6 linked regions of the Oryzias latipes genome follow. The protein of the gene in region 3 binds, or shares a complex with, the protein of the main gene of each other region. Links are inferred from orthologs where the notes say so. Each region holds a gene or a part of one and is shown on either strand. Other genes may lie near its edges. The genes, in order: cacnb1, cacnb2, stac3, dihydropyridine-sensitive L-type skeletal muscle calcium channel subunit alpha-1, voltage-dependent L-type calcium channel subunit alpha-1C and voltage-dependent L-type calcium channel subunit beta-3.

The links.
Region 1: stac3 (region 3) and cacnb1 share a complex: the UniProt entries of both Homo sapiens proteins name them as parts of the calcium channel complex. The link is inferred for Oryzias latipes from reciprocal best matches to the Homo sapiens genes STAC3 and CACNB1.
Region 2: stac3 (region 3) and cacnb2 share a complex: the UniProt entries of both Homo sapiens proteins name them as parts of the calcium channel complex. The link is inferred for Oryzias latipes from reciprocal best matches to the Homo sapiens genes STAC3 and CACNB2.
Region 4: stac3 (region 3) and dihydropyridine-sensitive L-type skeletal muscle calcium channel subunit alpha-1 share a complex: the UniProt entries of both Homo sapiens proteins name them as parts of the calcium channel complex. The link is inferred for Oryzias latipes from reciprocal best matches to the Homo sapiens genes STAC3 and CACNA1S.
Region 5: stac3 (region 3) and voltage-dependent L-type calcium channel subunit alpha-1C share a complex: the UniProt entries of both Homo sapiens proteins name them as parts of the calcium channel complex. The link is inferred for Oryzias latipes from reciprocal best matches to the Homo sapiens genes STAC3 and CACNA1C.
Region 6: stac3 (region 3) and voltage-dependent L-type calcium channel subunit beta-3 share a complex: the UniProt entries of both Homo sapiens proteins name them as parts of the calcium channel complex. The link is inferred for Oryzias latipes from reciprocal best matches to the Homo sapiens genes STAC3 and CACNB3.

The regions. Positions count from the first base shown.
Region 1 is NC_019866.2:5,369,251-5,373,955, forward strand, and holds part of cacnb1 (voltage-dependent L-type calcium channel subunit beta-1), read right to left. Parts: intron 4,700-4,705; coding exon 4,590-4,699; intron 3,961-4,589; coding exon 3,952-3,960; intron 2,154-3,951; coding exon 2,002-2,153; intron 665-2,001; coding exon 569-664; intron 476-568; coding exon 290-475; intron 1-289. UniProt on the Homo sapiens protein: Regulatory subunit of L-type calcium channels. Regulates the activity of L-type calcium channels that contain CACNA1A as pore-forming subunit.
Region 2 is NC_019878.2:20,095,802-20,100,506, reverse strand, and holds part of cacnb2 (voltage-dependent L-type calcium channel subunit beta-2), read left to right. Parts: intron 1-375; coding exon 376-456; intron 457-547; coding exon 548-606; intron 607-2,570; coding exon 2,571-2,680; intron 2,681-4,256; coding exon 4,257-4,408; intron 4,409-4,705. UniProt on the Homo sapiens protein: Beta subunit of voltage-dependent calcium channels which contributes to the function of the calcium channel by increasing peak calcium current. Plays a role in shifting voltage dependencies of activation and inactivation of the channel.
Region 3 is NC_019865.2:7,551,435-7,556,607, forward strand, and holds the start of stac3 (SH3 and cysteine-rich domain-containing protein 3), read right to left. Parts: upstream 3,127-5,173; 5' UTR 2,819-3,126; intron 2,165-2,818; 5' UTR 2,132-2,164; coding exon 2,124-2,131; intron 1,686-2,123; coding exon 1,607-1,685; intron 1,337-1,606; coding exon 1,180-1,336; intron 1,032-1,179; coding exon 934-1,031; intron 764-933; coding exon 703-763; intron 392-702; coding exon 294-391; intron 159-293; coding exon 89-158; intron 1-88. UniProt on the Homo sapiens protein: Required for normal excitation-contraction coupling in skeletal muscle and for normal muscle contraction in response to membrane depolarization. Required for normal Ca(2+) release from the sarcplasmic reticulum, which ultimately leads to muscle contraction.
Region 4 is NC_019865.2:11,942,551-11,947,255, forward strand, and holds part of dihydropyridine-sensitive L-type skeletal muscle calcium channel subunit alpha-1, read right to left. Parts: intron 3,171-4,705; coding exon 3,101-3,170; intron 2,847-3,100; coding exon 2,714-2,846; intron 2,636-2,713; coding exon 2,506-2,635; intron 2,413-2,505; coding exon 2,353-2,412; intron 1,941-2,352; coding exon 1,834-1,940; intron 1,717-1,833; coding exon 1,629-1,716; intron 362-1,628; coding exon 254-361; intron 181-253; coding exon 128-180; intron 53-127; coding exon 1-52. UniProt on the Homo sapiens protein: Pore-forming, alpha-1S subunit of the voltage-gated calcium channel that gives rise to L-type calcium currents in skeletal muscle.
Region 5 is NC_019881.2:14,667,515-14,672,219, reverse strand, and holds part of voltage-dependent L-type calcium channel subunit alpha-1C, read right to left. Parts: intron 4,401-4,705; coding exon 4,238-4,400; intron 4,155-4,237; coding exon 4,027-4,154; intron 3,912-4,026; coding exon 3,815-3,911; intron 3,630-3,814; coding exon 3,527-3,629; intron 3,134-3,526; coding exon 3,032-3,133; intron 2,908-3,031; coding exon 2,780-2,907; intron 2,604-2,779; coding exon 2,469-2,603; coding exon of another isoform or gene 2,463-2,468; intron 1,159-2,462; coding exon 794-1,158; intron 615-793; coding exon 591-614; intron 1-590. UniProt on the Homo sapiens protein: Pore-forming, alpha-1C subunit of the voltage-gated calcium channel that gives rise to L-type calcium currents. Mediates influx of calcium ions into the cytoplasm, and thereby triggers calcium release from the sarcoplasm.
Region 6 is NC_019865.2:19,143,869-19,149,067, forward strand, and holds the start of voltage-dependent L-type calcium channel subunit beta-3, read right to left. Parts: upstream 3,152-5,199; 5' UTR 2,889-3,151; coding exon 2,808-2,888; intron 1,838-2,807; coding exon 1,745-1,837; intron 1-1,744. UniProt on the Homo sapiens protein: Regulatory subunit of the voltage-gated calcium channel that gives rise to L-type calcium currents. Increases CACNA1B peak calcium current and shifts the voltage dependencies of channel activation and inactivation.

The sequences.
Region 1 (4,705 bases), on a different chromosome or scaffold from region 3:
TTTGGATCGAGACTACAGATCTGTTCTTCATCTAGCTGTCCCTGTATTTTTGCACATGTGTGTGATTCTTCTCGGCTTCATAACAGCAGAAACCGGGCTTTATTGCACTACTCCTTCTGTCTAGCGAGAGCAGGCTGCAGAGGTCGGTTCAGGTTGCCGGAGTGCCCATCCCACACCGCAACGCCGTGCTTCAGACAGTGTGCTCTTCCTCTTTTCCCTCACTGGCTACAGCACCGTCCAAGTCAGGCCACAGATCCATGTTTCTGCGCAGGGAGGTGAGCACCTGTACCTGCAGGTTGGAGACGGGCTCGGGAGACGCAGCGAGGGCCGCCGTGGCCATAGTACGGTTGAGTAGGGGGTTGGGAGGGTTGCTGCTAGGTGGGTGTGTTGCCTTCCAATAAGCCTCCAGGTAGTCAGCCAGGTGTTCGCATGCGTCCTCCAGCTGGTTCTCATCCAGGATGATGTCAAACAGTTCCTGTGCCACAAACAAAGCAAGTCTTAGTTGGTGTTGCAGAAGCAGAGAATCAAAAATGTCCAAATAAAGTATAATTCCTAAATCAGGACTCACAGGTGGACATTGAGCCAGCTTGTCTGCTGCAACCATCTGAACGTTTAGATGTTTCGCCTGAGACTTTCCTCTGGATTTAATGAGCCTCTGGAGAACCTGCAGCGAGTCAACAGCAACAACTCAAATAGTACCGCATAAAAACAGGAGCTTGAAGCCAAGCTCATTTAAGAATGGGGCGTGGCCATTGGGGTAGGTGAAGCGTTCCAGCAAAAGTTTGTCCGTAAGATTCTAATTCAGCAACCTGATGGATGAGCGTGATGCATACAACGTTGTGGCGATGAGTGCTAAAATACATTTTTACTCTGTGAACTCTTTAAAAATACTGTACTTGATGCAAATATTCCCTTCATATCTCTAAGTGACACCACTATTGGAAAATCTTGTTTCAACTGTGCTCGAAAAAATAACAAGATCATACGTGCCCTGTTTCAGCAAAATGTAATTTCTGTTCCCTCTGCTGTTTTTTATTGGAGAAAATTTATTCCTGACTTGCCGTGGAAAAATGTTTGGACCCTGCATCAGAAATTATTAATTAATAACAAGATGAGAGACGTCTCCTACAAACTCCTACATAGAATCTATCCCACTAATCAATACATGATCAGATATAAGAAGACTATTGACCCCAACTGTACCTTTTGTAAAGAACACCCAGAAACAATCAGTCACCTATTTTGGAATTGTAATACTACTAAAAAACTTTGGAAAGATTGTGCATGTTTTATAAATTATAATTTAGATTCACAACATCAGATGAAATTTGAACATATCATATTTGTCCTACACGAAAAAAATATAAGATCAAACGTAAAATTGGCAATTAATCTAATTATAATATTTGGTAAATTTCATATTCATAAATCAAAGTTTTCTTCATCACAACTTTTTTTCCCTTTAATAATTAAAGAATTAGAATCTTATTTACATACTATTTCTAATAGTTTAAACAAAAAGGCCGTACATATTTATGAAAACTGTCTGTCTCTGAATATTTTCAATGCATAGCATTTGTAATCTTTTTGTAATACATGTACCATCCCCTGACATTGTTGTTGTTATGACTATTGTTCCTGTCATACATATTTGTTCCGTTTGTGTTGAATAATAAAGTTTATTAAAAAAAAAATCCACTCGAAGTACAAAAAAAAAAATAATAAAATACATTTTTACTTTGCCGTGTGTGAAAACAAATACAGGGCTGCAGTACACACTGTCAGAAAGAATGAAATAAAGCATATTAGGCAAACTCAAGTGCTCTTCTTCAACCCGTGACGCTGCTTCATCATATGTAAATTTGTTTTGGGTGTTTTTTATCCCCATTCTTGAAGCTCTCGTTTGAGCACCGGAACAATTTCAACAGCACCAGTTTGGCACCAGATGAAATTCCAAATGGTACCCATCCCTACAAATTAATACCAGACATGAAGGTTTACCTTGGGAGATGCTATTTTGATATAGACGATGATGGGAGCCAGAGAGGTCTTTGCCAGCTGAGTGGGGTGGTTGATGGTGTCTGCATCCAAAGCAACGAGCTGCAGGGTTCGGGCCAGCTCGAAGATGCGCTCAATCTCACTCTGCACCTCAGCTGACAGCACAGGAAAGAGACACAAATAAATAAACAAACAAAAAGTTATTAAAAAGCAGGCTGCTTTTATCTTTAAGGAGATGCAGCTTTGAACAGCAGTTAAATTCTCTTACTTTCTGCATAGTTATTAAACGAACATGTTAGTTCCTCACCGTGCACGTTTGGATTTTTTTTAAAAACAATGACAAAAGCCCACAAGCTTTCAAGGATGTAAATCAGGTTGGACCACAGTTTTAAGTTCCATTTATTCAGAGCTAAATGGAGCACTGGAGCATCTTCATTCAGTTGCCACCTCCAGACATTTCAGATTCTCTTAAGTGCTTCTGATCATTTCTAATTTGAGGTTGTAAAGGAAGGAGGCACTTAGAAATGAGATGCCTGTGGTACTTGAAATAGCTTACAATGAGGGCACAATTCTTCACCATGTAACCAAAACAGAAACAAACAAAATACAGATAAAAAAAACATACAGCATGGGGGGAGAAAACGTTTTTTTGTTAGCACAAATAGGCACAGCAAAATTATTGCATCAGGATAGCCATTCTAGACGGAGGACTTTTTGTTTTCATTGTTCCTCAGCCACAGCCAACCAGAGCTTTTGCATTTCAAGCGTAGTTCCAACATTCATCGAGAGGGAAAAAAATGGCGCCTGACATCATCTGCCGGAAGTGGAAAACATACAACTTACCTTAACCTTAACCCAGAAGTGATCAGAATTGTAAAAATAACATGCATTACAGCTTAAAACTGGAAATATTCTAGGTAAAACTTTATAATAACTATGGGTTATAGCTTGGTAAATTATTAACAAAACTGTAAGTTAACGAGTTATAAATAACTTTGTTAAGGATCTATAAATGTGCCTTTATAACTAAAAATTGATCATGAACAAGCATTTAATAAATTTCTCGACAACGATTTGTTAAGTATTAGGTAATGGCTTATCTGTTACTGGGATGTTGTTTCAAAGTGGAAAACATTCCTCATTTATTAACCGTTAAGAAAGGAGGGACATTTCCAACATTGATACACTGATGACTGTTATTTATAACCCATTAACTAACAGTTTATTCATGATTTATAATAGATGATTTATAATGATTTATAATAGATGATTATTATAAAGCATTACCAAACTGGAACTGGCAGGGTTTGCCAGTTTTTTTTCGAGCGATATGGGGCAGACTTCCGGTTCTGATTCTGGATGTCGATGTCTACAGCCAGGGTTAAACTGACAGCCAGAGTGCCCCTTGCCCTGGGGGTCAAACATCAGCACCTCCAAAGTTGTGCCAACTCAGCAGTGATGACAGATAACAGGCCGTTTAATCGACAGGGGCCCCATATTTCAGAAGCCTCCAGGAGGACTCCAAATTAAAGCTGTCCAGTCAGTCAGTCCAAGTGACAAGAAATGGGAACTTTTAAGGTAAGTAAATATGGATAACAACTGCAATAACTCAAGTTTTAACAGTATATAAAAGGTAAAGTCCAGCTCGTATAGGGGCCATTCAAGAGTCTTACTAAAGACGTACTGTATCCAGACTACTTTTAGGGGTAATTGCAATATGTGGTTTGAACAGCAGCAAGCAGTCGCCCACAGATCTCTGCCTGCGCGGGTTTCGTAATTCTTTCCTTTTTGTTCCAGACTGCAGGCTGTCACTCTGAGGTATGAGGAACAGAGAAACTGACAGGCAAACAGACAAACAATGTATGAGTACATGATGAATATAGTTAGGGGGGGAAAAGCGAAAAGAAGAGGGAGAGAAGCTGCATTGTTTCATTGCACGGAGAGCATACATACCCAGTACGTCTGAATCACAAGACAGAGAAGGAGGAGGAGGAAGAGGAAAGGTTTGGCAGAGTAAGGAGGATGGTTGAAGGGCACAAGAGACAAGATGAAAAGAGAGAAAAGGCCTAAATCAGACTCGATCAGAGGAGTTGTAAAAGCTTACAGGTCTTTTGATGAGGTACATCCTATGCTGTGTCTACCCTATTATGGCTAGGTCCTTAGATGAGTTATAACAAGTTGGATTCAAGGCTCCGAAGAATCCCTTTTTGGCATGTTGATCTAACATCAGCTCCTCCCAAAATGTTCTAATTTCTCCAATTTTTAATCACAAATTCCCCTGTGCCTGAGCAATCAAGTCAAACTGCAAGATGCAGCTACAAAAGCCAAAATAATAAATGTAGATTTGTGCTGAAGTTGGTTTGTGAGAATCAGAAACACATAAAAAATGTCTTTCTTGCTATTTGAATAAGCTGTTTGGAGTCTTATACTTTAAAAAAAAGTGTACCTAAAGAAACAGGGATATGGAAGAGACAGGAAAAGATGTTCAGCAACACGACACAATGAACAAACATCTTTAATTTTCCAGAGTTTCATTTTATAAAAGTTTTCACTGCCAGAAGACGTCTGGTCACCGAAGCGAGGTTTCTTACCCAGGCTGGAGCGAGTGCTGGAGCGCTCGATGATGGTGTGTTTGCTGGGGTTGTTCAGGACTGAACGTTTGGCCAGAGAGATGTCTGCTGTCACCCGCGTGATGGATATTCTGAAA
Region 2 (4,705 bases), on a different chromosome or scaffold from region 3:
CGCCGTGACCTTTGCCGTCTGAACCTGCCGTGTTTTCCTGCCCTCTCCGACCAATCTTTCCCCCAACTTTGCTTCTTTTCTTTGAGTGACATCAGAACCATGAGGCGACAGGAGGGGCCATGAAATTGTATTTGTTGTAACATCCAATGAAAAAACTAAAAAAAAAAGCTAACAACATTAAGATTCAAGCAAAGTGCCAAATCTTATTATACCTCATCTCATTACACATCAAAGCTAACTTGAGGCTTTTTGGTTCCCTGTTAACATCTAGTTTCATGGTTCCAAAGCTGTTGTTTCAACCTCTCATGTCATTTGTGATATGGTTAACTTATTCTCACTGTGTTATAACTACTTTGTTTTTCTTTATTTCCAAAGACGGAACACATTCCTCCATACGACGTTGTGCCTTCCATGCGGCCCGTGGTTCTGGTGGGACCATCGCTGAAGGGCTATGAGGTTTGCCCAAACTATCTATCTTCTAATCTATCTTTCTGCGCACTTCCTGATTGACTTTAGCTGTTATCTCCTCTGGCTCTTCTGTTACCAGGTGACCGACATGATGCAAAAAGCTCTTTTTGACTTCTTGAAACACAGGTTTGAGGGAAGGTACGTTTCCTGTGACCTTTACGAGCTCCAATTCATGTTTCCTCCCTCATTCCTCCTCTCTCCGTGTCCACACTGGTATTTATCTGTCCCCTGAGGTTAGCAGAGGGAGTGTGTAACAAGTTTGTTGTGCCTGGAGATGTGTGCTGTTGCTTTAAATAGCCCCCTCTGCATGTCCTTAATAGGCCATAGTGGGTCTTGAAGTGGAGCAAGATTCTCTTTATTCAGTGTTGAGACCTTGAAGTTACACAAGATCAGTTCAGTCCAGCGGCAGCTGCACCTACCATGTTTTAATGAGTCATTTACTCTCTATTATTTTTATTCCAGTTTTTCAACAATTATGTGTATTTCTAAGACAACTTTAAAATGTTTAATCCAAGAATTGATGCTTTTAGAGAAGTAAAGTAGTCTCAGATTGACAGAAAAGATAGTGTTTTCGTAAAATACATCTAAAACAAAAGGCGGGCCTATATGATGCTTTTCTTAAGCCTTTCAGAGTAAACTATATCCATATATATTATGTTATGTTACCTTTGGCACACTAAAGAATGCTTTTTTTTATCAAATATGAGTTATTTTTCGCAGCTAGTTTTCCAACCCGGAAGTAAGACGACTCGATCTCTGAAGCTCCGCCTTTCTCTCCCTGTGGGTGACGCCCACTTCATGACGTCAACCTAGCGCCAAACTCGGCAACAAACAATATCCAAACTTTTGTAAAGATGGATGTGCATATTGTGGTGGTAAAATGAAGTGTTTTAGCCAATCACCATTAGCTCTGCGGAGAAATTGTGTTAGCCTGTGGGGGGGTACTGGAAGCACAGACTCTTCTTGGAAGGGGCTGTTCTCACTTATCTACTTCAGCTTGGGAGAATCCACTCGGTTTCATGGATTAGGAGGGGCTGGTGGAATACTCAGAAATGCATGAATGGATCAAAATACTGCTTTTTTGTGAGGAATTAATGTTATAATACACTTAAAAGTTAAAAAAGTGTTTGCATGATCATCCTGTGATCTATTCTAAAAGTGTTTCCAGTGGTCTTTTTATTATGCTAATGCAAATTTTATCCAAAATCCAAAAATCTGTTTTATTTTCTAGAACATGGTTTCTGCAGATTCATTAGAAATTCCTCTCTGACTTGTGGGCGGAGCAACCCTGCCCTTCTTTCCCCTTCCTGTTACTGAGAGCTCTCTGTTCACATGCTGTACCACTAGCTGACAGCCCCTCAGTGCAACAAAAATGGAAAGCAATGTTGGAATTATCCAGCAATGCAGTTTGAAGCCAGATGCCAGATCGGATAAGATATAAACAAAGACGTACATGGATCTAGTTGGCGCAGGGATCTTTTGGCCAGTCCGGCGTATTTTTTACTTAACAAAACAAAAACAAAAGCATTTTTTTGTCTGCTCCTGATTTACAACAATTTAAATAAAGAAATACTCAAAAAAGACAAATTTTTGCTTAATTTTCTTATCAGAAAAAATCCATCAGAACGTGTTAAAAGCACCGTTTTCATCAGAGTGACTCTTTATTGGGAGTTCAGCTGTCCGTTAGCTTGGATTTCTTCCTTAGTTAGAGATCAGACGGAAGCAGACTCATAACAGCAGGTCAGTTACCGATCAAAGTGGATAAAAATGTTAGATTAAAATTTGAAAGAACACTACAAAGACTCCATTATACTATTTTTTAATTTTAGCGTATTATGTTGTCTGACCATCCAGCTTTATTTGGTGAGGAAACAGTGTTTAAATGTTACCTAAAACTGCTCTCTCTGTGCAAAAGCATGTTTCTGTTTAAAATCCACAAATTTTGTTGTTACTAATTCATACTTTCCATTGCAATTGTCTGTCAAAATCAGCAATAATCATAAAGAATGTGTTTGCAGAACATGTGAGGGGTTGAAAAAAAATCATAAATCGAGTCCATATTTTTCCACTCATACACTTGCTTTTCCTGTCTTTTGTGTCAGAATATCAATCACTCGCGTCACGGCGGACATCTCTCTGGCCAAACGCTCCGTCCTGAATAACCCCAGCAAGCACGCCATCATCGAACGTTCCAACACGCGCTCAAACTTGGGTAAGCCTGTCGTGAATCCACACAACCTGGAAACATCTGGTGTTTTGATTCATAATGTTCTCAAGGAGACCACTTTAAACGCAGGAGGAAGGAAACAATTAAAGAAACCCTTGAAAATGGTAACGATAACTCCTGAAAGGCTCAGAGCTGCATCGGCCGGCCTTGTTGGTTTGGAAATCAAAGGTAGAGCAGAAACGCTCCATAACGCTCAGATGGATTGTATTTCAGATTAGAATGAAAGAGATTCTGGCGTCAAACGGAGGTGACGGGGCTAATCTCTGATATTTATCACCAGAAACATTCATTAACAAGCAGAAGTCTTTGTAAATTTAGACAAAAGAACACAAACATCCTTTTGAAATGTTCATATGGCATAATTGATGTTTAATTTCTGATATTTTAGCCATCAGTAGTTTCTCAACTCACTATTGAGTATGCCAGTCATATCAACTGTTTACAACAATGAAGGAATTTGGTTTTATTCAAAATGTAAAATTTTAAAAAAGGTTTTTCAGGACATAAACATGTGATTCCCCTTTAGTTTCAACTATTTTTAAAAAACTTTTTTCACATTGTTTTGGCTTTATCTTTGCTCTGTTAGTTTTTTGTCCCCACATGTTTATTTTTTGTTGTGAAACCCCATAGTTTTTTTAATTTTTGTGATATTGCATTAAAAAAGTGAAAAAAATTATTACTCAGGGTTGAGTTTTTGTACCATTTGAGGTTGATTGTGGAATTATAGTTAAAAAATTTGTGTTTAGTAAAAGTTGTTAAGTAAAGAACAGATTTAAAGGTAAATTAATGAAGAAAATTTAAAAAATAATAATAAAAAAGTAACTAAAGTAAAAATTAACACGAATACCATCATAAAATGATCAAAAACAATGTTACAAGACTTAAGCTGTAAAATTATGAGAAAATGTTTTAATTTTATGAGAATAAAATTGTAAAAAAAAATAAAAAATGTTTAGAACTTATAAATATAAGCAGAATGGGAAATAAATGGCTGCCATGTTTCTCATTTTGGAGATTGGGTTATAAAAGTCACTCCTTGTCAGAGGTAACATACGAGCCGTCGCTCCTCTTAGAGCTATCAGTTTTCTCCGTATGCCTCATCCCTCTAGTCATGATGTCTTAGGTTTGTGTTCCCTGGAAGACAAAGTGATACATAGTGCAGCCGTGCCTTTAACGGCGTATTAAAGGAGGACGTGCTTTCTCCTCTGGTCTCCTGCGGAATATGAGTTTGTAAAATAGGATAACAAGTCTGTAATAAACGAGGCCTTGTTGAATGTTCAGGTGTTCTAGCTGTGACGGATTGCAGCACTGGCCGTTGCATTTGAAGCCACGCAAAGCCAATGTACTGTTATTTTTAGGTTTTGGTAAAAATTGAATAATCAGTTTAATTTGGAAGGGGTTTAAGGCCCATTTAATCTGAGAGGACACTGACAAACACTTACTTGTTGTTCCTTTAGACTGTGTAATTCTAACCTCTTCTTATTACGATGTCTATTTTAAACTTAATTTGAAAATGTAAAATACGAATGGTATTAATCCAAATGATTGTTTTCCTCTGCAGCTGAAGTCCAGAGTGAGATCGAGCGGATCTTTGAACTGGCCAGGACGTTACAGCTGGTGGTTCTGGATGCCGACACTATAAACCACCCGTCACAGCTGGGAAAGACTTCCCTCGCCCCCATCATCGTCTATGTCAAGATCACCTCTCCAAAGGTGACCACATGACAAATGCACTCGTTCGACGAATGTTCTCTCGTAATAAAGAGCCGTTCAGGCCATACTTCATGCTTGCATTTATCTCGGTTTTGTTTTGGAAACCATTCGTCTTTGTCTTGCTTGACTTCGGAATTCGGCACGTCACACGCCGCAGGATCCAAAAAGGTGGCTGATTCATCGCTCTGACCTTTAGAAAGTGTAAAACAGGCTCATGAGTCAGAGATCGATAAAGAACAGAGCAACAGGGAAAATGCAGGAAAGGCACGGCGGAACAGACGCAGGCTGTAAATCAGA
Region 3 (5,173 bases):
TTAAATTTTGTAGTTTTTATGATTTTCATAGGAAAATATTAGTTATTTTTCCCACAGAAGGCAAGTAACCAACAGTTTTAATTTATACCTTCTCCTCCTTCTTCATGCTCTTTGGGTTGTTGGTTCTCCTCCTCCTCCTCTTCCTCCATCATCATCAACTAGAGAGAAAGTAAAACTGAGTTATCATTCTGAGTTTTTTTATTCATCTATATGAACACAAACATTGTAAAGTGTTTACATCATCATTTGTTGATACTCTAAATTTAGGTTTGAGACAGGAAGACTTCACTCACATTTTTTTTGTCGTTTTCATTCTTTTTGCGCTCCTTGTTTGCCATTATGACGCCCACTCTCAGGGTGTCAAAGACGGGGTCATTCCGGTTTGGATTATCTGGTGGAATGCAAAATTATTGAGCTGAATCAATAATTTATCTATTTAATTTTGACTGCTTGATAGTAATATTTAAAAAGACTAGTAATGCAGAAGCCTACAGTCCAGGTTAGATGTCACCTTTGAAGATGTAATCTAATTTTTATGCTAAGCCAAAAGGAGATTTTCTGTACAAACTGGTGTAATTTTTCTTTATTTCAATTATATTGTTGAATCAGCTACAGCAATTTTCCAACACAAGTAACTTTCTTTTTTTCAAAATAGTGATTATGATAATCATGTCTATTTTGAGCTAACTTTTCTGGACTCACTTGGATCGGGTTGGTCACTGCCATACAAAGGGGAGCTGTAAGCTCTTCTAAATCCAGGTGGCTAGAAACACAAAAATAAAAAATAAAATATTCATAAGAGTTTATAGCCTTTGAATTATAAAACACAATAATCTGAGTTTGCACAGATTTTATTGACTGTCTATCTATTTGACTGCATATTCTTTGATATCAGTGTAAAATATAACATTTTTTATGATGAATAAAACTCACAATTTTGCCAAAACACTTCTGGAACTCGACATAGGATTGGCATGAATGGTGGATATTGGTTTTGCAGTTTTTACACCTCAGACAAAACTTGTTGTTCACTGCAAGATGTGCAAATGAAAAACAGTAAAAGTCACACATCATTTTGATGTAGAAAATAGCATCACTATGAAAAGTCAATCTAAACACATTTCTTTGGGAAATTTAACAGGACTGGTTGTGTATTTGCGTATCCTGGTGAGCACATACAGACTATCATGCGAGCACAGACATCGCAGAACTTAGGTTTCTTGCAGTAGTGATCCTTGAATTTGTGGGGTTTGTCATTGATCCGAAGAATGGGTTCCGGGGGAGGTTCTGGTTCCTTTTCCTCCACTTCAACTTCCTCTTCATATATGAAGTAGACCTTGAGAAATAGCAGAAACAGCTTAGGCAGAAAATGTGAAACATGTTAAGGGTGGTGTTCATAAAGAATCTCGATTTGTATGAGTCAGAGTTTTGGCAATGAAACAAACTGTCTAGACTACATGTATAAAACTATCTTCAGGGAAATCTAAATCTGAGGTCATATTTTCAGAATTGACAGTGGACTGCAGCCTTGTTCCAACTGGTGGCTATTTTAAACATCCTGGGAATGGCCCTAATGGTGGGTGGTTGGCATGGTGCTGTCACTCACTGTGTCTCCCTCCTCCCTCACTACATTGTCAGGGACTGGAGGATTGTCATGAATATCCACAGAGTTTTTGTCATCCTCCCTGAGATAAATAAACGTGGAAAAAACTATAAGCTGCCGAAGCCACGGATTGGGAAAAAAACACAATTTTGGAATTAATAAATAAAACTCAAAGGTTTACTACTGGTGCATGTTTATTCAGCAATGACACTAAAGGAGAACTTACTGAACTTATTTTACCATGACAGACTAGGGAAAAAAAAACAAGCATCATGGAAACCATGTAATCAGAAGAAAAATCTACTCCAAGTTACAAAAGACACTCGTCTTAAACGATACAATTTTATAAAATAACTTCAGTTAATTATTTTATAGAAATTAATAGGTAGACTTTGACCTCATTGCAAAAAAGATCTCTAATAGTATCACTTATCAAGTTGAGTTTTAAGTTAATTGATAACTAACAAGCTTATAACATTTTGACACTGACGGAACAAATGATGAGTGGATCTGTACTCACTGATCCATGATGCAATGCAGACAAAGTCAACACTTTCCAACCTAGAAATAATGGAACAACGTTTGACATGGGGTTGATTGACTTAAAATTTAGAATTTCTAAATGATTTCAATAAAATAAAAACTTTGGTTTATAAAATATTATATTTTATGTACATCTGAAAGGACCTCTTTTCTTTTTTAATTGTGAGAGTTCATATAATCACTCCCTTACGTTTCTATGTTTAGGATTTTATGACTGCCAGTGTTTAAAAATAGACAAATGCCAATGTAAAATGTATTTAGCCACAGATTTACTTTCGCATGTTTATATTAACCAACCTACAATTTCACACAGCAAAAGTTGAAATATCAAATACAGAAAGAAATTTTTTGTAAAAAAACAAAACAAAACAAATATGCTTCATTATTTTGTGTTTGACAGTGTAACTTGGATTTTGCAAATTGTCACCTACAGCTTTACCCAAACTCTTTTTGGGTTTTGAAATCTCATAATTGCTAAATTTTGGATTTTTTTCTAGTCAGGAAAAAAAACGTAACGAAATCCAAGCTATCATCTTGAACAAAATTGTTTTAAATAAACCACACAGATTTTAAGAGTGGTGAACAATTCACTTAACAAATTTAATCTACTTACAGAACAGAAACAGAAATGGTTATTAACAGGCATTGTTTATATATGCAATGGTAGCCTACCTTAAGTGAAAGACCACGGAGGAAGTTACAAATCCAGTATATTGTCAAAACTCTATGGTGGGTCTTGAGCAAAAGACGATGACTGGTGTGGCGTACGATCTGTGCTACTGACTCCAACAAAGCAGCCGCCCAAAATGTCCTGTCAGTTCAGGCCTTTTGGCCTTTGGTCCCCTATTTGTGGTTTCTTGATATTCGCTTCAGAGGATTTTACACTTTGAATGTAACCTCACTAAAGTAATATATATTTACATATGCCAATATACAAAATAGTGTAAAGGGACTGGAAAGATCTAACTATTTATGGATGCCCAAGTGTGTGTATTTTTGTGCATGGCAGGCTTGGCATTACTGAGTGAACTTGACAGTTTGCAACAGCTGAGTATCTCTCACTAAGCCTGAGTCGGGAGGAAAAGGGGATACACACACTCCCCCCTATCTATCTATCTATCTATCTATCTATCTATCTATCTATCTATCTATCTATCTATCTATCTATCTATCTATGTATATAGATAGATATAGATCTTTATATCTATATCTATCTATATACATATCTCTATATGTATGTCTATGAAGACTCTCATTCATCCAGGTTGGTTCCATTGTAGTAGGTTTAGGGGATGTCATCTGGACTTGGTTTTAAAGTTTAAAATCTCTCTACATATCTATATCTCTATATATCTAGATATATAGATATGTAGATGCATATATATCTATATAGATATAGATATAAATGGATATATAGATATATATGCAGTGTCCTCTGTCAGGACGCTCCAACCTGCGCTAGACAAGCGTTACAAAGGTCCCGTTGCATTTTGGGTACAATATTCCTGACGCGCTGAGTGCGCATGCCCAAAAGAAAACTCCATTATTATTTTTTTTTCTTTTTTCTTTTGCTTGGAATTTGTAAGAAAAAGGGAAAGAAAAAAAACACAAGGAGCAAATGTGAATTTGGGATCACATAGGTCGTTATGGTTGTTGAATTGAATGTGAATTCCACACGGTTCAGCAGAACGGAGACTAAAAGCAACGGCCGGATCGTTGTGGACGGGGAGCGGGACATCCCTCGGTTTTGCTGGGACTCTCCAGAACCAAGTAAATTTCAGTCCTTTAGCTTTGCTAACTAGCATAGCTCGTAGCGGTTACCCAGGAACTCAAGCGCAGTGAAATGAAGCGCTACTGCTCTTTGTTTTTAAACCTGACGGTCAGACGTTGCGTAAATCTTGATAGCTGGTTAACATCGCTAATTCGTGAATTAGATTATGTAATGGTTAAAGTCTCGCTTAATTGTTGAAAGTACCAACCATTTTCAAAACATTCACTGGCTAGTCGCCTTGCTAACTAGCTAACTTGATTCACCCGCGATCCAAAAGCGGAGACTTCAAAACTTAGCCAACACGGAGCTTAATGCAAAAAAGGTTAATCAGCATTTGTTGTTTGTTGTGGCTACCTCCTCTAACGGATATCTGTAAGTAAGTGAATCATAGTAATTCGAATAGGAAAGTTGTTGTGTTTATTTCGAGACAATGTTTTGCACGGGATGCCTCTTGTAACCGTTGCTAATACAAGAGTTTTTGCATCAGAGTGTTTTGTGCGCCTGACAGCTGTCACGACAACATACTACAAAGTAGTCTTAGCCTGCTAGCCCGGCTATTAGCTTTCACGCTAGCTGCCGTGTCATCAGTGTAAAATATTTCAGTGTTTGTTTGCCACACACGTCGTAAACTCCGTCGTTTGTTATTAGACTAATTTCGTTGTTGTTTGATTTGTTTTAGCTGCTTTTTGGGAGCAGTTGTGTCAATTTTAGTTAGCAAATCTGCAAACTACGGGCCTACCCAGAAACACACCCTTTTTAATTACTAAAAGTGCCTCCTAGGCTGGTCTCTGATAATTGTCTCCCTTTGAAGACCATTGCATCTCGTTTAACCATTTGTTTTCAAAAATGTCTGGCTGAGATCAGTTATCAAAAATTGGCAGATGTATTTGCAATTCTCGCTCTGCCAGGTTACATAATCGGCTTCTATCTTTTCTTTGCAGGCTTTGCTTCGTCATTTAAGCTTCTATTCTGATGTGATCCAAACAGTCGAAACCGTTAAAAGTTAGCCTGAAAGTTTGTACTTTCTTCTGGGAGAATAAATTCCAAGTGTTTGGAGGAGTCAGTTTTCACTGGCAGTAGGTGTAACCCACCAGCATGCTCATTGGACTGTGGATACCATAGCCAAAACAGATCCTGGCTTTTCAAAGATGACAAGGTATTTGACATGCCATTTTTATGTTCCAACAGTAAAACAATTGTTTCTCTTTGACTTTAGAAAATGTGTTTTTAATGGTTTACATTACCCCTCGTTTCAG
Region 4 (4,705 bases), about 4.4 Mb from region 3:
AGCCAACACCGTGTCTTTAAGGGAGTTCTCCATGGGCTTTATGAAGTATCCTCTGTAAATCCAAACACACATTAGCAGCAAAACGTTTCTTTTTGAGGAGGGAGATGTGGAAGGGTGACTGACTTACTGACAATCTTCTGCAGTCATTTTGGATGGGTCAGTGCAGCTGTAGAATTTGCCCTGTGAAGGAGAGGATTCATGTCATTTTCTTTATTTGGGTTTAAGATCAATGACCATATACAAAGAAAACTACCTTAAAGAGCTGTACTCCTATGCAGGCAAAGATAAAGTTGAGCAGCATGGTGACCAGCACAATGTTTCCAATTGTTTTAATGGCCACAAACACACACTGGACAACATGCTGTGGAAAAGAGAACAGCGATAAGTACTGAGAAATGGAACAGTCAAACGCTTTAAAAGTATTTTCTTTCTGTTATAAGGGCCCAAAAATAAATGAAAAATCTTTGAAAGAAGACAAGAGTATTTTTAAAATATCATTGTAAAAGTGTGTAAAAGTTTTATTTGTTCATTATTCATCAGCCGTTCTTTCCCATTACTCGTGTTCAGAACGATCTTTTCAGCACTGCTTGACCCCAAGCGTTGGTCTGGTTTTGGAAGCATTTAGATTTTGCTGTTTGAAAACCAGAATCTGATAAGACTCAAATAATTAGTCAAATATGATATGAATATTACAAATCATTTTTTTAATTTAAGTTGCCAGAAAAAATGCCTATATCATAAAGTTTCTAAAGTTTATTGAGCAAAACTACAATGCTTTTTATTCAATGACCTTTGGAGAAACACAGCATTTCATTTCACTGTGCATGGCGGTGGTTGGTTGATGGTTTGGGTTTTGCAGTCCTTGGATTGGCTGACAATTTTTCTAATAAACTACTTCAGAACGCAAAACTAAAGTTTGGGAAAGACTAAGCCATGGAGCAAGACTGTGATCTAAGAACACCAGTACCAAATGTGAACTAAAAGGGATATTCAGATGTTCTTTGATTCTTTATTTATGCTCCCCAGCTTTGATTTTCCTCCCACTTTTTTTGTAACTTTAGGGTATTCTATTTTTTCTTTTACTTTGCATGTATTACCTGTAAAAACCTATTTAAAGCAGATCAGATATCAGCCCAAAACAGCAGCAGAAGAAGACTAAAGTTGAATGATTGATTATTGATCAGACCCTTCAGGTGTTTTATATACATTCTTTAATGTGTGATGACAGCAAACAAAGTTTTGTTCTGCTTCCAGTAAATCAAGGCCAACTTTAAGCGTGAGATATATTATTAACTGGTACAGTGAATGTTTTGTAACTGCTGCAGTTCTGACTAGTGCCAGACTGTAAAATAATAAGCGACTGCTGCTGCAGGAGCTGTCAATTGTTACGCAAAAGGACAGGGGGGGGGGGGGGGGGGGGGTTAAATCAGACTGAGGTTTTAGTCAGTTCTACAGAAATAGAATACTGACATTTGTTCATGAATGCATGAAAGTTATTATAGATGTATTCATTTATCAGCCACCTACATACAAGGTGGAGTTCTATGCAAAATTTCCAGTTTAAGTATCTTACTGATTGCCTGTATACATAATTTTTTTGAGCAGGACAGTCGATGCATGTCTTGTACCTTCAGTCCTTTGGCTCGGTTGATGGCTCTGAGAGGTCTCAGCACTCTCAGCACCCTGAGAATCTTGACCACAGAAATTGCACTGGACCTGCAGGCAGTACATAGTAAAAGCAATAATCATACATGTGTGTTTTAAAAATAAAAAATAAAAACATGTATTTCAGTGAAAAGTGACAACAGTGTCTTGTGTGATCCTGAAACTCACTCCATTCCCATGGACAGGAGCGACACTGTGACCACAATCAGATCCAGGATGTTGAAAGAATTACGACAGAACGAGCCTTCATGCATGAAAGCGCCGTACACCGTCATCTGTCCGTGACACAATAAAATAAAGTTACACTTTATATATAATTTTAGGTCTGCTTTTGTCATTCGGTTTGTTAGATAAAGAATAAACCAGAAACATTTGGATAGTTTCATCTTTATTTAATCACTACCACTATTACTACTACCTGCCTTTTCTTTTGTGTGAAATTTAGATTTGTTCAACCAAACACACAAAGTCAATAAAATACTAACTCCGTATATTAGTAAAACTAAATCTCTATAAATAAACATGTTATATTGTAATACCGGTGATATTCATTCCTCTAAGGTTAAAACTGCAGGATTCGCTGAACTGTTTATTTTTTTATTTTAAAAATGAAAACTGAGTAGCAACAAAAAGAGACGACACAAAACAACTGATCTCAAAATAGTTGTTGTTGCTTGTTGACCTTACCTTGAGCACAATCTCAATGGTAAACATGGTTGTGAAAACAATGTCAGCATAAGCCAAGATCTTTAAAAAAAAGAACAAAAACTAGGTTAAGTTCAGAGCTCAGCCTCTTGCATCCATTGTTGTCCAACATGCTGAGTCTGACTCGGCTTCCACCTCGTTTCTGTAGGACCTTGGATCGATGGGGTCCTCAGCTGCCAGCGATATGGAGGACAGCAGGATGAAAAGTAGAATCAAGTTGGTGAAGGACGAAGCGTTGATGATCTTGTAGCACAGTTTACGGAACCTGGATTGCAAAGTACAGACATGAGCTAGACAGAATTTACACATCTTTATCTTTGAAACACTTCTTTTATTATCTTACTTGTTCTGAGGGCCAAAAATATAAAACGAACTGGCTTCAGGTAATGGAACCGCTTCTTCCTTCAGCTGCAGGTCTGCCATTGGTCGAGGCCGAGGGCTTAGGGGGATTGCAGGTTCTTCCTCCTCATCATCACCTAAAAAGCAGAAAAACAGACTGCAGAACAATACCAGCACTTCAACTTGCATTGAATAAAACACTAAATCAAAGATTGGGGAGAGGATTTTCAGACTGTACGAATTATGATGGTTGTCACTCAATGGACTTAAAAACAGCTTTAAAATTCTCAGCACACAACCCAAGGAGCTGGTTGAGATCAACTGCCCTGATTTTTACCTGTCAGCAACATTAAAACAATAAATGAAGAGGAAGACAAATGAACTGGTTTACCTGGAAAATCATCAGGTGGAAATGGATCTTTCACTTCATTGACATTGGACTCAAATTCATCGACTTTAAGCTGAAAACAAAAAACAGTATAAAGTTATAATCCTTTAGCACAATCTACAGTGGTATGAGAAAGTTTGGGCACCCCTGATAATTTTCAAAATTTTTCTTCATAAATCATTGGTTGTTTGGATCATTAATTTCAGTGAAATATATCATATAGCAGATGAACACAGTGATACTTGAGAAGTGAAATGAAGTTTATTGGATTTAAAGAAACTGTGTTTTAATTACTTAAACAAAAATAGGCAGGTGCGTAAATTTGGGCACCCCAACAGAGACATGCCATCAATATTTAGTAGATCCTCCTTTTGCAGAAATGACAGCCTCCAATCGCTTCCTATAACTTTCAATAAGGGCCTGGATTCTGGTTGAAGGTATTTTGGACCGCCCGCTTTAAATCACACCACAGATTTTCAATAATATTCAGGTCTGGGGACTGAGATGGCCATTCCAGAACATTGTACTTGTTCCTCTGCATGAATGTCTTTGTAGAATTAGAGCAGTGTTTAGGGTCATTGTCTTGTTGAAGTATCCAGCCCCGGCGCAACTTCAACTTTGTCATTGATTCTTGAACATTGTTTGTAAGAACCTGCTGATACTGACTGGAATCCATGCGACCTTCAACTTTGACAAGATTTCCAGTACCTGCACTGGCCACACAGCCCCAAAGCATGATGGAACCGCCACCAAATTTGACTGTGGATAGTAAGTGTTTGTCTTGGAATGCTGTGTTCTCTGTTTGCCAAGCATACCGCCCCTTGTTATGTCCAAATAACTTCATTTTAGTTTCATCAGTCCACAGCACCTTATTCCAAAATGAAGCTGGCTTATCCAAATGTGCTTTAGCATACCTCAAGCGACTCTGTTTATGGCATGTGCGCAGAAAAGGCTTCTTCCGCATTACTCTTCCATACAGCATCTCCTTGTGCAAAGTGCGCTGAATGGTTGACCGATGCACAGTGACACCGTCTGCGGCCAGATCACGTTGTAGGTCTTTGGAGCTGGTCTGTGGGTTGAGTTTGATTGTTCTCACCAACCTTCGCCTCTGCCTATCTGAGATTTTTCTGGGCCGGCAACTCCGGGCCTTTGCTTGAACTGTGCCTGAACTTCCATTTTCTCACTATATTCCTCACAGTGGAAATTGAGAGCTGAAATCTCTAAGCAAGCTTTTTGGATCCTTCACCTAAACTATGATGATGAAATCTGACAGCTGTTTTGAGTATGGAAGCGATTCTGTAGCATAATTAAAAATAAAAGTCAAAACCAGAAATGCTTTTTCATTTTCAAAATGACGCTGCATTTTTTGACCCAAAGTTAAAATGAAAAGGCATTCCTTCAAAATGCTTTTTCCTTTTACAACCATCACAAAGCCGTCTCCTCTGCTGCTAACACAAAGCTCCACTGCTCCAAGCATCTCTGTGTCTCTTAGCAGCCGGACAGACGGAGAAATCAGTGACGTCATCGCCCTGCCTCCTCGCTGGAAATGCTTTTTCGAATTGAATATTTGCGACAATGTTCGCAGGGTGGATGTTAAAATGAAAATGC
Region 5 (4,705 bases), on a different chromosome or scaffold from region 3:
TACCATTCGTTCAAAAACTCATAGTTGTTCAAAACAAATGAGCTAGTTAATAAAAAAATCTGTATTTAAAGTAGATTAGTTCATGAAATTTTGAAAAAATTTGAGTCGTGGAATTCAAACTGTCAGTTGAGACAAATATAAAGCAATAACTCAAAAGCACATAAGTAGCTTTTACAAAAATATAGACTGATCTCATTGTATTGTAACATTTTGAACTAATGAATAACTTTATTTTTTTAATGGTCTAAAAACAAGATGAGTATCAGCTTTCAGATGTTTGCATAGATGAAGAAAAAGGAGCTAAAACAGAGTCTAACCCAGACCTGCCACAGTGTGCAATAATAGAGCAGCAACACAAGGTAGATAGGAGAGGTTTGGCCATGTGACACCAAACAGTCTATCTGCAGCTTAGCTGGCTAATCTTTAAAGTAGCAGCACTTTTACTATAGCAACTAAAGCATTTTGTGCATAGCAACAAATGCCACTGTTGTGCCATGACAGCTATGCTCTTTTCCATACTGCATCATCATTTTATGCGCACTCAAAACAGACAAACATTCATTCTCTTTCTCTGTCCCCTGGCAACATACCGCATGAGGGTGTCATAAAACATCCTGCATGCCAACAGAAATAGAAGACAAGGAGAAAAAGCAGGTAAATAAAGAGGCGGTGAAAGAAATAGTTTGTTGACTGTGAAAACTTTTCTTTACAGTCAGGGATAGAGAAAAAAGTTATTGTAAAAGGTTTTATATGAAGGAAAATCTTTACGTGGTCTACGGAGACTTGCGCTCACCTTTTTGGAGGGAAGCACCATGCGGACCTTGGCAGCAGGATGGGTGTCAGTGGCTGCCCAGTGTGTCCATCTACAGTGCTTATAGAAGGGCTCGGAAATCGACTGACACCCTGGTTGGCCACGCCAGTCACGCTGGTGTTGTTGGCGTTGTTGATGTTGGCGTTGGAGCCTGATGATGAGTAGGAGGAAGGGGTAAAGGTGGTTGAGTCCATAAGTTTCTCGTGGGATGGGCTTTCGCCTTCGCAAGGGGAGCCTTTCTGGCTGATATGCAAAGGACGCTGGGTGGTAAAGGACTGTGGGAAGGAGCTGCGGCCATCGCTTTGGTTGTAGTAGTTGACATGGTTGCCAAACAAGCCACCAGAACGCTGTGTGAGTAAAGAAAAACAGATGAATAAAGAAAAAAACAAAAGCATAAATGCAACATTAACATTTACTGCTTGCAGCAATCCAGCCTTATATCAGCCATGATGACAATGGAACGCAAGAGTTTAGCCATTTAACAGATGAATACCTGCAATGTGCTATGAATAAACATCAGAATTTATATATATAAACATAAAACAATTTGAAAATACAAAAAAAATATTAAAGACCCACTCTGATCCTTTTTTGATCTATTGTAAAAGCGTTTCCAGTTGTTTTTTCATTATAATAATGCAATTTTTAGCCAAAAACGGTAAAAATCTGTGTCCTTCTTGTTCTCTAGGACATATTTTCTGCAGAGCAGCAGTAGTTCATTAGAAATTCACCTCTGATTTGTGGGCGGAACAGTTGGCGCAGAGCAACCCTGTCCCCCCTCCCTTCCCCGTTGCTAAGAGTTTTCTTCTTACATGATCTCCTGCTATCTTACAGCCCCCCCACACCCCCAACCCAACATTACCGTTGCACCGAACATGGCGAGCAATTTTAGAGCTATCCAGTAGTTTAGTTTTGAGCCAGAAGCCAGATTGGATCAAGAAAAAAAAGATGTACATGGATCTATTCGCTTTTAAGTGGGTGCGGTGCATGAGAATGGAGCAAGCCAGGGAGCTTGTGGCCCCATAGGGATATTTTCCATGTCACAAATAAGCTATTTTCAAATGCCATGCTCTTTAGTCACAATGATTTGAAAAAGAAATACACAGAAATGCAATTTTAAGCTTAATTTTTTTTCAAATATATGTCTTATATCATCAAAGAAATGCCACAAGAACATGCTAAAAACACCCAAAATATTCATTAGAGCAGGTCTTTAAATTATGGTATTTATATTTTTTATTGTATTTGTCTTACATGTTAGAATGAAATAAAATAAAACAGAAATTGCTAAAAAGAAATTTACATTGAAACAACGCATTAAAGAAGGCAAAGGAAAGTTGCAGAGGAACTAAAGGTGTTAATACTTACAGTGACAGTGGTCTGTTATTTGCCAAAATGTATATAGAAAATTTTTTTAGACTCATTTTGCGCGTTTTTTTCCCCCTTAGAAAACTTTCATTAAACTGCAGCATCAGTGTTCAGCGTTAATGTGCAGCAAAGCCTTGTGGTCAAACATGCAGCTTTTGCAAGATGTCCTCTCCGGGCTCTGACCACATGCAAGCATGGTAATGCATGTGGTGAAGCTTCAAGCTGGCGCTGATCATGTCTGGGTCTCTCTCTGTGAGAGTGCGTGAGGGTGTATGCATCCAACCTTTACCCTGAAGATATCATCCTCAGATGCTGCTGACACAGGTTCCTTCATCCCTTTATCCATTTCCTCCTCCACATTCAGGTCTCCCGAGATGGCCCTTCTAATCTCTGGACCAATGTCATGCAATGTCCGCAGGCCTGCCTGCATGCACAAAAACACACCACCAGAAGTTCCTTTCTTTTTCTTGTTCATTTCTTATAGAAAAAATGTCAACTTGTAATTTTATTAAACACTACCTTTGTTTTCTTATTGTCTTGATAACTTAAATAGCATAATTAAACATGTAAAATACAATGTAAATGCAATTCTGCATGTACCTGCAGAGAGAGTGCAGTTTTGGGGGGCACCTTGCCCACCAGCCCCTGTTCTTTCCTCTTCTTAAACTTGCGGAAATACTCTTGGATGAGGAAAGTAGCATAGAACTTCCCGACTGTAACCTCATCATCTGGAAGCAACACAGTGACCATTATTCACTTAGTGGACGGGTATTTTTAGAAGTTCTGTAAAAGATGTACTATTTTTCAAGTAAGATTTTGACCAGCCTTAACTGTCTTGAAAAATACACCTACCACCAGCAGGGGGCACTACTTGATCCAGGAGTTTCATGCTTGTTCTTTTCCAGATCTTTTTTACAATTGCCCTCAGTTCCTCATTAGCTTGCTCCAAGTTTCCTGCATATACAAAACAAAACATATATATTGTAGTCTTGCATGTCATGAGTTTGCGTGTCATCTTTGATCTATTTTAAAAAGCGTTCCCAGTGGGTTTTAAAAAATATATATTTATGCCACTTTTAGCCCAAAGCAAAAAACCTGTGTTGTTTGTTAGGACATAGTTTCAGCAGAGCAGCAGGGGTTTATTAGAAATTTGCCTCATAGTTGAGGGTGGAACTGTTAGTGTGGAGTAAGCCCACCCCTTAATTTACTTTGGTCCTCCATCATGGGAAAAATGCCACAAAAACATGGTAAAAACACCAAACACATGATTATCATTGGAGTGGGTCTTTAAAGAGCAGTTAGGTGGAAGTTACTTCAGTTCTGTTTGTCGTATTACGTGCATCTTACCGTCAGTTTTGATTCTGAGGGCAGTTCTGACCAATGCGAACAGTGTGGCATTGAACATCACCGTTCCATCGCTGTTCAGAGGCATGTTCATTGACACCAGACGCTACATAATGAAATAAACCAAAAGGAAAACATAAGATAACACACATGGCCAAAAACTAACCCTCTCTTATTGAGCATTTGATGCCAGCTTTGGTGTCAACTTCTTAATTCTAGTAAAAAAAAACATTCTGAAACCCTTTTACATTTATTTTTGTGTATTTTCTTTTATAATTGTGTCAGCTTTACCTTGCAAGCCACCCTGTGTGGGCAGAGCTTTCCAAATCCCAGAGGAGGCTGAATTCTCCGCAGCAAAGTGACTACATCAAGATGTTTTATTCGACCCCTTTAGAATTAAAGAAAATAAAAGACATTACATTAAAAAATTCAGCAACGGTTTGACAGACAAAAGCAACACTATCATTCTGAAAGTGTCTAATGCTTTCTCTCCTTAAACTCACTTAGCTTCTGGGTCATATTCAGCCCAGATTCTTTTGAATTCATCAAGATGGTGCGGTCCCAAGATCGACCAATCCCGTGTCAGGTAGTCAAAGTTGTCCATAATTACAGCCACAAATAGATTGATGATCTGCAGAGAAGCAGGAATCAGTAAGTGAGTTTGGAACTGTTATCTGGAAAAGGGAATCTTCCTTGTTCAGCCGTCTGTCTCACCAAAAAGGCACAAAGCATGTAGAAGCTGACGAAGTAAATGATGGCAAACTGGCTGCCACATTCCTCACTGGCGGTGCTGTTTTCATTGGTTGACCCTTTCTCACAGGGTCGGTTGGGTGAACACGCCAGCATGATCTCCTGCCATGCCTCGCCTGTCGCACATCTGATAAGCAGCAAAGATTATCCAACAATACAAAGAGAAGAACACAAGAAAAAATGCAAAATTAGTTGATAATTAATTCTTCATAATGCAGTTACACCATGTTAAAAATGTGATAATCAATTTTAAGACTGTGCTTAATAAGGTGCTTTTTTCCCCTGAACTCCCATGTCAACATATTTGCATCTTAAACTAACATTATTGAGAGCAAAAACTTACCAATGGTGTCATAATTGAAACTATCTAAATCTAATAAAAAATTAAACAACACTTTTTGTTGTTGTTGTGGATTTCATCAGTTTCAAAAA
Region 6 (5,199 bases), about 12 Mb from region 3:
TAGAATTGCCAATTAACCTATAAAGCATGCTTTTGGACGGTGGGAGGAAGCCAAAGACCCCGGAGAGAACCCACGCTTGAACGGGGAGAACATGCAAACTCCAAAGAGAAAGGTCCCCCGTTGATGTAGTTTTTCACATCCCCCAGCCGGGACCTGAACCGGAGACCTTCTTGCTGTGAGGCAAGAGCGCTAACCACTGTGACACTGTGCAGCCAGAGAATGCTAATATGAGATATGAAATCCAACCAGTAGTCTGCGAATATATTGGGTTCATGTTAGAGCTCGGTTGATCCAATCAATTAATCAATCTGAATTGATCAAAGACTAATAAAAAAATAATCAATTAATAAGAGTAGAGATCGATCTTTTGTGCATTTCCTTTACCGGTGTCTTAACGCATACCAGCAGTAAAGTTGAAGTCACTTAGCCTGATGCTAACGTATAATGAAATTTCCCATAGGACGGCTAATGCTAACGCTCGGTCGACCTTAACACATGTGTCGCTGACTAAATGAACAGCTTTATATACTCCAAATATACTCCAAACTATTTCAAGGAAACATTATTTTTTAAGTAACCATTTGTGGTCTAAAGCATCGTTTTTTACTCAAATCTTCTCGTAGAATGTGTGACGCAATAGCGTTAGCTCCACCTAGTGGCCAAACTGAAACGCCCTCCAGGAGAGGCAGAACACAACGATCTGCACATTTTTGTTGGAGCTTCTCTGTTGTTGAAACCTATGTAACACAGTATGGTGCCAACAACGTAATTGGTGTATTATTTCACTAATACATTTTACAGTATGTGAACTGTATCAGATTCATATGAATATCTTTAAAACATGTATAGATTATTCATGGATTTCTATGCAATTATGTCTAAATGTGTAAACCATGTAAATTCAAAAATAAATGGAATCAGTCCAAGCCTGGTGAATCAAATTGATTCTCGAAATATTTGGTGATACCCAGCTCTAGTTCATATATTTGTAAATCTGGCTCTGAAAGGGAGTCTTAAAAGTTTCAATGAGAAGCACTTCTGCATCAAACAGGTCAAGCTGGCCATTTATCTGCGTTTTTTCTGTCATTGGCAGATCCTGCTGTTTTCTTTCCAAAGACTGTACACATCTGGAGCTCAAACTCCTCACACCAAACAGAAAACCTCATAAACAGCAGTGTGGTCAATAACAACTCTTCTTTTGAAGGAACTCTTACCAAATCGACTGACTAGGAAGACATAACTAACAAACACAGGACGACAACTTTGTGCTTTTTTTCGCATCCAGACATATCACCTTAAATAAAGCGGATTCTCCACCTGAGTCTTCCTGAAAACAGTAATTAAAAAGCAGAAGATTGTGTTGGGATTGTTTTTAAACACAAACCTTTGGCTGCCCTTTGCTGGTAATATATATGTAAGCAACTAAAGACTGCTGGGTGAAAAAAATGAACAGAAACTGTCAATTATTGCAACACAAAAATGAAAAAGACCCAGCTAGAAATATCTTTGTGACTGCCTCATAGAACTAGTTAATCTTGAAAAATAGTGGTTGATGGCTTATAGTCCAGTGAAACACTACAAACACGGCTAGTAGTGTTCAAGAGCTTTGTTCAACGCTCATCTACATTTTCCATAGGATATTTCCAACTGCTGTCACTGATAGTCTTTGATGATCTGTGTTTGAATGTCAGCGGCAGCCAGAAATACACACGGAATAAATGAATGCAGGAACAGAGCTGTTTACCTGCCGTTTGATGAAGCTGGAGGTGGTGTCAGAAGAAGTGCTGCCATCGGAGCGTTTGAAGCGGCTCTTGCGCTTAGGCAGTTTCCTGGGCAGCTGAGTGGGGAAAAAAGACACAGAGGAGTTTAGAAGACAAAAAAAAAAAGACTCAGATGGAAGGTTTCTTAATGCTTAGATGGTTTTTAGAAGGTGTTGGAATGAATGGAATTCTTACTTTTGTGCACCGAAGTCCTTTTGGTGCACAAAAGTAGTGTATTTTCAAGACTGTCAAGCCCATAAGAGATGACATTTAGAACATTTGTTATAAAGTATACGTGAATGCAAACAAGATCATCCAAGAATCAAATGAGGCACAAAATAAAATAACTTTGATGTAACATTTTTGTTAGACAAAAATGGCAAAAATGCTATTTAAGAAAAGAAAAAAAAAGTCACAAATGAACTTGGATGTAATGCAAACTAACTAATCATCTGAAAACACCACAAACTACATGATTAGTGAGTGTCCTAGTGCTTTAAAGCAGATGTGGGAGTTTATATTTTTTGTGGTGCTCTCTGCTGCCTAAATTTCACAATCTTGCCATACCCACAGAAGAAGCAGGAGCTGCAAAAATCCCAGGGATACTTAGATTGTATAAAATTATATATGTGTGCGTGTGTGGATTTAGGCCACAGGTGGCACAGAGTGACAGAGTCTGCACGCTAACACCAACAAAAACACCTGCAAAACCGGGATGCTGCTGTGTGGCTGCACTGACTGTCAGAAAAACACACAGAATTTGATAGGAAAGCTTTAAAAAATTATATTTAGGCCTGATATGTGGCCAAAAATCCATCGATATTTAAGCGGAGTATAATTAAAACATGGTGGATGAATGTATGGGCTCGATGATCGATCCGCAGTGAGGTGGGAGTACAGCGGGGAAAAGAACTATCAGCTTGCCAAAAAAAAAACCAGAGAAAAAACGCGACGCCTCGAAATGGAACAACAAGTAGCTTTTTTAGACACCAGCGAGCCATTTTCCATCGCACCTCCCCTGCTGCGGACGGAGGGGCCGAGATTTACCTGAAAATACTGCGACTGCGAGCCGGTTTCCACGGCAGACAGCGGGTCCACAGGCGATTTGGACATTTTGACTTGCACCATCTATCGAAAGCGCAGGGAGGCGGGATGCACACACAGACATGGGTTACTGGAGGGAGCCAGAAGAACTAAGTGCATCAGGCGGAGCGAAGAGACGGTCGATAGCAAAGAAAGAAATATGTCAAATAAGCCATAATATCTTCCAATAAGAAAGAAAAAAACATGTTCTGATGGAGCAAACGTTGAGCGAGTGGGGGAAAACGGAGGTTTATTTGAACCGTTGACGCCGAGGCGTCATCGCACGAGCTCGGTAGGTCCGTACTAAGTGTGCGGGTTTGCCGGGGGTGTCGCGGTCGACTGAACCGACGCCAAATTTAATCTAAACAAGCATACAAACACTAAACTGCAAACCTTTTTACCTAAATAAAAATACGAATTCATTTTAAATTCCGTTTTTTTCTTAATTTCTGAAAGCGTTCTTTTTTTTCTCTCACGGGGAGCAAAAAACCTGAAAGCCGATGAGTAAAAGTGGGACTTCAGGAGATTCGGGTTGTTTAGATTTAGGAGAGGTTTCCCTACACGTTTTTTTCTTTATTTTATTATTATTTTTTTTAGCTAAACAATTGCAGAAAACACAAACGTCAACTATTACAAACACAGTTTCATCCTTGCTATACTTCTTTAACTTTTTTTTTAGATTAAAGTCCCATTCCAATAAAAATCGTATTTTGGATGTAAACATGGTCTTGTGCCTTTTTCTCATAATGGAGGAAAGATTTAAACTCAATTTCTTGGTATTTCTTTATTCAAATCGTTGTGAATCAAGGGCAGATGAAAAACTGCAGTTGGAAAAAGCTTTTTGCAGTGACGTACGTGCTACAGTAGGCGACGAGCTCCCTGCTCTCTTTTTCATTTGTTGCTGTTTTCCTTTGGCCCCTTTGTTTAATTTTGTCTTTCTTTGCGCAATTCTATGAAAAAAAGTGTGAATTTTCTTAAATGTTTTTAAATAAAGAAATAAATAACAAGCTCCCTGCTGTGCTCCATTCTGATGCATCCACTTGCAGACAAATAGATCCACATCTTTGTTTTCCTTGTCATTGGCATCGGGCTCAAAACTGTACGACTGGATAGCTCCAACATTGCTCACCGTTTTTGTTGCACCGATAATGTTAACTTGGGGTTTTGAGGGGCTGTAAACTAGCAGGAGGAAGTGTAAAGAAAGGGATGATGGCAAATGAGGGCAGGCTTACTCTGCGCTATCAGTCCTGCCAAAATTGGGAGGCGAATTTCTGATCAACTCTTGCCAGTTCCTCTAAGAATCAGGGCCTATGGAGGCTGGACTTGAATTGACGTTGCTGATGACATCAAAAACTTGGTAAAACCCTTGAGGAGGACACGAGTCTTAAAGCTCCTGATGTTCTTCTATTATCTAGGCACTAGGTTCCCCTCTTAATAAAAGGGCAGGTCATTATCTTATACTACAAGATAATGACATTGAGGTTGTTTTTTAGATATGAAACACTAGACCAGCTCTTTGGATTGGTGTAATCCTTAAAGTTTTCATGTCCCAAAACAATTTGTTGACTTGGGAAAAGCATTTAACTGCCTGCCTTGGGATACTTAGTTGTGTAATAAACATGGTCCCACAATTAATGTGGTACTATTTCACAATGAAGGTACAACTGTTTTGAACCAACAAAAGTGTTTGTCATAGTGAAAGGGTTGAAGATTAGGATTAGACAGCCTAAACCACATGGCATCAAAATGAACCAAAACCTCTTTCTGCAAGGTGCCATAACCTAATGGAGAAAAAACAAAGAACCATCCTATCCATCTTCAGAACCCACTGAATCCCTTTTGGGGTGCCAATCCAGCCACTATTGGGTGAAGGCATAGTTCTCCCTTAACAGGTTGTCAGTCTCTTGCAGGGCCACACATTCACACCTAGAGGCAATTTTTAGAGACACCAATTAGCCTATGAAGTACGTTATTGGACTGTGGGAGGATGTGCCCGAGTGCCTGAAGAAAATCCATGCATGTATGAGAAGAATGGGCAAGCTCCACATGGAGGAGCGCAGCTAACTGGAAGAAAAGCCAGGCGCTTATTGCTGTGAGGCAAGAGGGCTAACCACTACACCACTGTGCAGCCCCAAATAAACCTTATACTTCTCATTGTAAAAAATGGAAAAAAAGGTCTTCTGCTTTTAAACACAGTGATAGTCTTGCTATGCACTAAGCTAATGACTTTGATTAAAGTGAAGGAAAAATCGAACATTTGAAAAAAACAAAAAAAACAACAACCAATAATCGTGAGTGTTGCTTGTTTCCTAACTGTCCCTTTACACTTCTGTTTACTTGTTTTTTTTTTTTTTGG